Canis lupus familiaris: one gene and its partner. The protein of the gene in region 1 binds, or shares a complex with, the protein of each later gene. Links are inferred from orthologs where the notes say so. Each region holds a gene or a part of one and is shown in the gene's direction. Other genes may lie near its edges.

What was found.
Region 2: the proteins of FMN2 (region 1) and SPIRE1 are in contact, whole or in part, in a crystal structure (PDB 2YLE), measured with the Homo sapiens proteins. The link is inferred for Canis lupus familiaris from reciprocal best matches to the Homo sapiens genes FMN2 and SPIRE1. Residues at the interface, in NP_064450.3 of Homo sapiens: Ser1702, Leu1703, Lys1705, Ile1706, Lys1707, Pro1708, Arg1709, His1710, Gly1713, Ile1714, Lys1715, Lys1717, Ile1718, Lys1721, Thr1722; in NP_001122098.1 of Homo sapiens: Gln51, Pro52, Ile53, Asn54, Glu127, Ile131, Tyr134, Lys135, Asp138, Leu141, Lys142, Glu143, Asn144, Glu145, Glu146, Arg147, Glu148, Glu154, Ile157, Asp158, Ala161, Asn162, Thr163, Val164, Glu165.

Annotation. Positions count from the first base shown.
Region 1 is NC_049228.1:31,820,330-31,824,149, forward strand, and holds part of FMN2 (formin-2), read left to right. Parts: intron 1-62; coding exon 63-192; intron 193-1,235; coding exon 1,236-1,382; intron 1,383-3,820. UniProt on the Homo sapiens protein: Actin-binding protein that is involved in actin cytoskeleton assembly and reorganization. Acts as an actin nucleation factor and promotes assembly of actin filaments together with SPIRE1 and SPIRE2.
Region 2 is NC_049228.1:78,148,249-78,152,542, reverse strand, and holds the start of SPIRE1 (protein spire homolog 1), read left to right. Parts: upstream 1-1,365; coding exon 1,366-1,660; intron 1,661-4,294.

The DNA of each region.
Region 1 (3,820 bases):
GAGAATAGACATCTGTTTATATGAATTATATTTTTCCTCTTAACTTGGCTTTATTTCCTTAGGTTCCTTTATGAACTGTCACTAATCCCCAACTTTTCAGAGCGAGTCTTTTGTATCCTGTTCCAGTCCACATTTTCAGAAAGTATTTGCTCAATTCGTCGTAAACTGGAATTGCTACAGAAATTGTGTGAGGTGGGTTCTGGTCTGTAGAATGCTGACAGTTGAGTTCTGATGTTGAATTGTGTTCAGTCGTGTTCATATTTTAAAAACTTTTTTTATTGTATTCTCTAAGTATGCATAAATTTTCAGGAGAGCAGTTCCACAGAAGAGAAGGTACCACAATGGCTTCCAGATCAAAGCAAATGATGATTGGTGCACACTGTCACAGGGTGCTATCGCTGGAGTATGCTGGTTGGGCTCCTACCTCCAGGGATTTCTGTTCCCTCTGCTTTTGCCAAAATGGTCTGATCCTGTCCTACCTCAGACTCCAGATTCGATGTGATTTGAAGGCATTTCATTTACTTTCCTTCAGTTTTGGAAGGGGCCTTCAACAAACTGTTAATGATTCTATCCAAATAGTTTAGGAACAGCTGTATGACTCAACAGCAGATAAATATTCTTCCAAAAATAAAGAATAAATGCTTGGCAGAAAGTTACCAATATTACCATTTAAAACAATTTGTCAAAAATCAATTGTACCATTCGTTCTCGTTGTGGTAAATCATTTTGAAAACTAGTAAGATGTTATTAAAGACACATTTTCAGAGGAAAGAAGACATGCAAATTGCAGCTGAGCTTTGTGTTTTGGAAGAAGTGAGTGTGAACTTTTCAGGGATAAATCTAAATTTGGAATTAATCTTTATAGCCGTGTTTTGGTTTCCCACAGCTTGTGCCAAAAGTTTCTATTGCTCCAGAGTTAGGTACAATTAGGGTGATGGCAATGACATTATTTTGTAGTAGTTCTCCTATTACAACCTTATTTGTTTTCTGTGCAATTATATCATAGAAATAGCCTAGAATGGTATCTCTCAGTTTACAAATGTATATCTGAATGTTGTAGGTGGCAACTTCTTAAAATTAACTTTGGAAACACTGCTCTTAAAATACCCTAATAATAAGCACTGATACATTTTGATTGTCACCCAAAATTATTAGTGTAATATCTGCCACTGATTTAAGATAATTCAAAGAAAACTTTGTCTGAGAGAGAAAATGTTCTTTATGCTGTTTTGCAGACATTAAAAAATGGTCCAGGGGTTATGCAGATTCTGGGTTTGGTTCTTGCTTTTGGCAACTACATGAATGGTGGAAACAAGACTCGAGGACAGGCGGATGGCTTTGGATTAGACATTCTTCCGAAGCTGAAAGATGTCAAAAGCAGTGTAAGTATTTTGTATGAATGAATGTAGGCAATTTGAGGATTAGATGTTTTGTTTAGTAATAAGCTTGACTCTAAACCTGTTGCAATAAATGTTTCTTTATGTTCCGAATTCTTTATCTTCTGAGTCAGATAAAAGTATATGGCCATCAAAAGTTTATGGTTTTGTGAATAATAATACTTTCTAAAATGAGTAATTGTGAATCCTATGACTAATGAATAATTGAGTAGAGAACTTTTAAATAGAATGAAAAATAATGATTTTTATCATTACCATGTCTGCTAATATTTATCGCTTTGGACTCTGAGGACTACTTTTCATAAATTAGACATTCTTCTTCTCTTCTATGTTAAATAATGGAGGCGAACAGGCTTGTGCTTTTAAAACAAAGCAAAGATGGGTGAAAATAGATTGTAAATAAAATGTAAAAGATGATCCTGCTTTTCTACATATCATTCTCCCCTTTATACTGATATGTGTGAGAATGTCTAAGCCTTTTTGCAGGACTAATTAATTTTTGATCTGCTTCTATACTTGTATTTGTTTAAAATTAACATCTCAGATTATGAGAGTGTCAGTAAAAATAGAAGATTAAGGAAACAACTATGATGTTTAGAGTTAATGTCTGAGACTGTAAACTTAGAAAATAGTAGAATTCTGTTTCTCTGATAGAAGAATCTCCACACAGAACTGTTTGATAAAGGAAATTAGGGTCATGTTTTTAAAATAGTAAATTTAAGTAAACAACTGACTCATAGAAATGGAAATACTAGAATTGTTTTTCCTAGATAATGAATATAGTTCACCCTTGAATGATGCAGAGGCACTGACCTCCTGCTCAGTTGAAGATCCACACATAACTTTTGACTCTCCCAAAGCTTAACTACCAATAGCCTACTGTTGTTGATGAGAAGTCTTACGATAACATTACTTGACACCTATTTCTTGTTACATGTAATGTATACAGTATTCTTACAATAGAGTAAGCTAGGGAAAAGAAAATGTTATTAACAAGATCAAAAGGAAGAGAAAATATATTCCCAGTACTGTACTGTATTTGTTGAAAAAACCTATGTGTAAGAGGACTCACACAATTCAAACTCATGTTATTCAACGGTCAACTATAATCTCCCACATAAGAAAGACATACTTCTTTTTGTTTTTTCTATTGGCCCACAAATAATTTGCTCATTCATTCATACTTCTACTCATACATCCATTTACCATTCTTTCATTGAGTTCTGTGATATGCAACACACTGCTCTTCCAAAATTCAATAAAGCTATCATCCTGTTTTGCAACACCAGCAGCATATAATTTTCGTGATTTTTAAAATTCAGATCCTATCATATTTGTATGTCACAAGTTTTCACAGGAACCTCCAATTTGTCAACCTAATAAATCATATTTATCCAAAAGCAAAAGCTCTCTTTGAAGCACTTGAATGTGGCTCATAGTTCTTCTTCTTCAAAGCACTATGAATGTGGTTCATAGTAAGAATGATGGCTGGTTTGAAACAAGTAACATTTGCAAATAACACTGGAATATAAATATCATCAACACAATATTTAACTTACAAAAGTGGATCTGAAATAGATTCTGTAATCATAATTATATATGAATAAGGGATTATTTGTTTTTTTATTGTTTGATATATCTTATTCAATCCCCCAATAAGTTAAATTTTATTAATTTAAATAACTAAGGAGAAATCTAGATAAAATTACATAAAAAATCAAGAAGCAAGATTTTATTTTATAATTTCACTTGCAGTCTCACAATATATAAAGTCTTCCTGATTTGGTTCTTTCTCTATAAAACAAATATAACTATATCTACTTCTTAGTAGTATTTGTAGGCCTACATGGACAGAGCTGTTATTTAGATGACTTAGAATTTTCACTCAGCATGCGTATCAGCACACATTTAATAAATGCTTTGTTAATTGATTCATATACTGTTAACCATTGCATTGATATATGTTAGGAAAGAGAAAGGTAAGTTGCTTAAATTATTTACAAGCAAAGTCTCTTTCTAATAAATACACTGCTTTTATTATTGTAATATATTACTGCATAATATATTATTATTATAAATTACTATGAGGGAAGTCTAAAAGGTGAATTCATATCAAATTAAATTATAAAGGGATATTGCTTTTTATAAATAGAGGGAAAATGATGTTTAGGCTGAACACTTTAGGAGATGTAGTTTGTGTCATAAGGTTTTTAAAAATATATATATATATATTTGTCTTCCCACATTCAAATTATCTAGCAGTAATTTCAAGTGATGCAAAAAAGAGAAATAATTAAAACTTAATACCTCTAAGTATGCCAGAAAAAGAGTGAAAAACTATTCCTTGAAAACTATTAGAATAGAAACAATTCTACATGTTTTTCTATAGTAGTAAATACATTGCATTATTTATAGTAGTGAGG
Region 2 (4,294 bases), about 46 Mb from region 1:
CTCCTCACTGGTTTAAAAATATCCTCTTGCTTTTCTCTCTTCTCCCTCCTACTGCTGTATGTACTATAGTACCTTAAGCATTTATAATAGATCATTGTAATTTTTACTGCAAGATGCAATTGTGAAGAGTCTAAGATCTAATATCACACACAAAACTGCCTTAAAAGTCTTATTGGTAGTTACTATAAATTTCTTGGTGGATGCTTTCAACTCTCTCAGGTTCTTACACAGGACTAGCCTCAAAGTGGAAAGTTACCAATTAAGCTCGTTAAGTGATTATTTTATCTAAGAATCGTGTTATGTTGCAGGACTTCATGAATTCAGCGAGGCTCTGGGGAGTACAGTATTTCTTTCATTGTATGGCTAATTGCCCTCATTTCCATGTTGCCACTGTGACATTAATTCCAAATCGTCTGAACATTCTGGGTTAACTGGACTAGAAGGAGTGTGATCATAGGAGACATTATCTTAGCGAGGAGCTGTACAAACGTTACGAAACGAATCCGGAAAGACGCTGAAACGAGGGTCCACAAAGTGTTTACATGTTTATATCCCAGGCCCTGATCTGGGAATTGACCAAAACCCACAAAAGGTCACGGGGTTTACAATGAAGATGTGAGGGCCTGTTCAGTAAACAATACTCCTCAGTGAATTATAACATTTTTTTAAATTTTTATTTATTTATGATAGTCACATCACAGAGAGAGAGAGAGAGAAAGAGAGAGGCAGAGGGAGAAGCAGGCTCCATGCACCGGGAGCCCGACGCGGGACTCGATCCCGGGTCTCCAGGATCGCGCCCTGGGCCGAAGGCAGGCGCCAAACCGCTGCGCCACCCAGGGATCCCGAATTATAGAGTATATTGGTGGCGACAGCTACTCCCAAAAGAGCAGAGGAGGGTCCGGAGGATGACGGGGGGACGAGGCCGGGGGCAGCGCGAAGTCCGTGCACCGGGAGCACCGGCGCGGAGCTCGAGATGCGCAGGACCGCGGAGCCGGGGCCGAGCCGCTCCCAGGCCTTGGTCGGGATCTGCTTCAGCCTGACGTCCAGCTCCTGCTCGGACGCGGCGGGACCCGGCCCCCGGCTCGGCGCGGCGGGCAGCGCGGCGCACGCAGCAGCTCCGGACCGTGCGGACCGGCACCGAGCGCGCAGCTGCCCGGCCGCGGGGCGGGGCGGGGCGGGGCGGGGCGGGGCGGGGCCGGCGGACGCCCTCGCGTCGCTACGGGCTGGCGTGGCGGCGGCGCGCGCGGCCGGGCGGGGCGGGGCGGCTCCGGGGAGGAGGCGGCGGCGGCGCGCCCAGACGAGTCTCCCGAGCCGAGGAGACGGCGGCACCCGGCGCGGCGGCGGTGCGCAGCGCCGACCCGCGGGATGGCTCAGCCGGCGGGCCCGGCGGGCGGCGGGGGGCCCCGGGCGGAGCCGGCGGACGGCGAGGGGCCCCCGGACGCGCTGAGCCTGGAGGACATCCTGCGGCTCTACAACCAGCCCATCAACGAGGAGCAGGCGTGGGCCGTGTGCTACCAGTGCTGCGCCTCCCTGCGCGCCGCGGACGCCGGCCGCCGCCAGCCCCGGGGCCGCCTGCGCTCCGCCGCGCAGATCCGCGTCTGGAGGGACGGCGCCGTGACCCTGGCGTCCGGCGGCGCGGGAGAGCCGCCCCCCTCGGCGGGTAAGGCCACGACCTGCGCCCCCCGGAGCGCCCCGGGCCCCGCCTCCCGCCCCGCGGCCCCCTTTTTCCGGGCTGCCCTTGGGCCTTACCCTCCCACCCCCCCCCGCGAACGCCGCCTCCTAAGGGAGACCCGGAGGAGCGGGCCTGGGGCGGGCGGGGGCAGGGGGTGGTGCTGGCGCCTTGCCATCAGGGCCCCACGTAGGTCGGAGCAGGGCGGGGGGGGGGGGGGAGGACCGCGGCACAAAGAGGGGTGCGAGGGGGTCCGGCCTCCGCCGCCCCCGCCTCCGGTAGGGCCTCGGACCTGCCCAGGGTGCTGGTGATTGTACGGACTGTCAAAGCACAGCTGCTCTTGTCTTGTTTGGGAAATGGGGTGTGCTGGGTCCTTTCCGTGATAAGCAATGTCTACATACTTAGATGCCAGGGCTATTTACTTGGGATGTGATAGGTGCTGAGAAAGGTTCACGTGAGATCTCGTCAAGGGTAGTTAATTCTGCTATCAGGAAAATTACACCTTTCAGAATGAATAATCAGCTAATAGTATTTTTTTTTTTTTTTTACATCATTCCTCCTCCTGGAATAGTAACCCTAACTGCCGTTAGGGAATGGGAGGATGGGATGACTCCTCTGGCTGCTTCAGGCAGAAAGGGGCGGCCTGCGGTGGTGGTGGTGGTGGTGGTGGTGGTGGTGGTGGTGGTGGTGGTGGTGGTGGTGGTGGTGGGACAAAGGCAGGGCATTCTCAGGGGTCAGTCGAGGTCCAAGATATGGCTCCCAGGAGATGTTGGAAGGCATCAAGAGACATAGGCCCCGGCAAACCCAGAGAAAAAGACAAAATCTAAGTTATTTCTATGACTAAAACAGCAACTCTGAAATGTTGACCCCAGTTTCCAAACCAGTAAAATAATCCTGGAGAGACTGATTTTTGTCTAGTTGAGCTTGAATGTCATTTATTGATTGTGAGACCTTATGAGAATTGTCAGTTATATTAAAACAGTACACATGTGAAAACTCTTTACAATTTAAGTGATGTTGAAGTAGTAATCAATAGTGGCCCAGTTCTTTAGAAGTTCTGCCCTAACTGCACTTAGTTCTTGATTTAGGCCATCTAACACTTGAGACTTGTCGTTCAGAGTTCTGAGTAGGCAAACAATTTGTTGGATCTGATGGTTTAAGACTTTTCCTAGTGCTGGGAGAGCCACAAGGGAGAGGACTAGGGCTGTTTCCCCATCTGATATGAGAACCACATGGGGTAGATGAGGTAGTTCTCAGTAAGGGGCTGCTGGGAATGGGAAAAGTAACCATCCCAGCCTGCCCCTAGTACAGAACTTCGAGAATTGTTTAGGAATGGTGTAATAGGCCATATTACAAAGTGCAAAATATGGCCCATCCTTTTGGCAGATGTAATTTCATTAGTTGGGGATGGGAGGTGTAAAGTTGCATTGATTAATAGGCTTATTGCAAGCTCTACATAATACAGTTGCTTAAATTATATGTTTTCTGTGTATGGGAGGGCCTGTATTGTGGAGAAGCAGGTTGAAGCTGAATAGTAAGGCTTTCGTTGAGTGGTAAAATTTCGGTCTGCATGGCCCCCACACCCATCAGACTATGAAAAAAGCAAACTTTGTGGGAGTTAATGCAAAAGAATAAACATAAAACAAATATTAGGCCCTAAATTATGATCACATTCCTTATATAAAACCTTCAGTTACCAATTTTGTTGACTAGATCAGTGGATATCTTTATCGTTTTAATGGATCACAAATGTTCCGTATTAATTAATAGGGCCACCTTGTGGGAGTTAACTGTAATGTTTAAACAACACATGTGAGGAAGCTTCTCACACCAGAAATGGTGTAGCAGTAGTAGACAGTCAATAGTGATGTGGCTCTTGAAAAGTCCCTCTCTGACTTAATTCTTCATTGAGTGTATCCAATGCCTGGGAAGTATTTAGAGTCCTGCTGAGCAAGCGTACTGTTTTGCTTATTTTATATTGCAGTCCTGTCTAAAATCCTGGAAGTCCCGTAGTGAGTTTTGAGGCTCTTTTTACCAAAAGAGCTGTTGTATGCTCGGCTATAGCCTTTGTTTGCAATTGTACCTTAGTAGAGGTGACTTCTAGGATAAATATGACTAAAGAATAAAACCATCAAAAAGCCCTCTTGGTTTGAGGTCTAGCCTGAACAGTATTATAATTACAAAGAATCACTTGCAAGTAGGAGAAGACTGGTCAAGAAATAAGGGCATCCCCAAGTACATCATCCAATCCAATCATAAAGTGGGGTCATCCATCATCTTCATAAGCCAGTAGTTGACCCTATACAGTGGGAGTACGCTCTGGCTTTAAAGGAACAATTTTGTCATCCCAGCCACACAGAATTGGTCAAAATACTAGTGGTATATACAATTGCTGGGGAATTCCATTTTTTTTGTTATTTGAATAATCATACAACCATGAGGTCCTGTTATTATCCCCATAGAATAAAAAGCATAAAGATTGTGTATACTTGAGCTATTGTGTAGAGATAGGAAAGCTATTGCTCTAAAGTTTACTTCAAGTAGTCTAGCTTAGGCAACAATATTCATTTAAAGATGATCAGAGCTATAATTTAACATCTGCAAAGATGTGTAATTGAAACATAG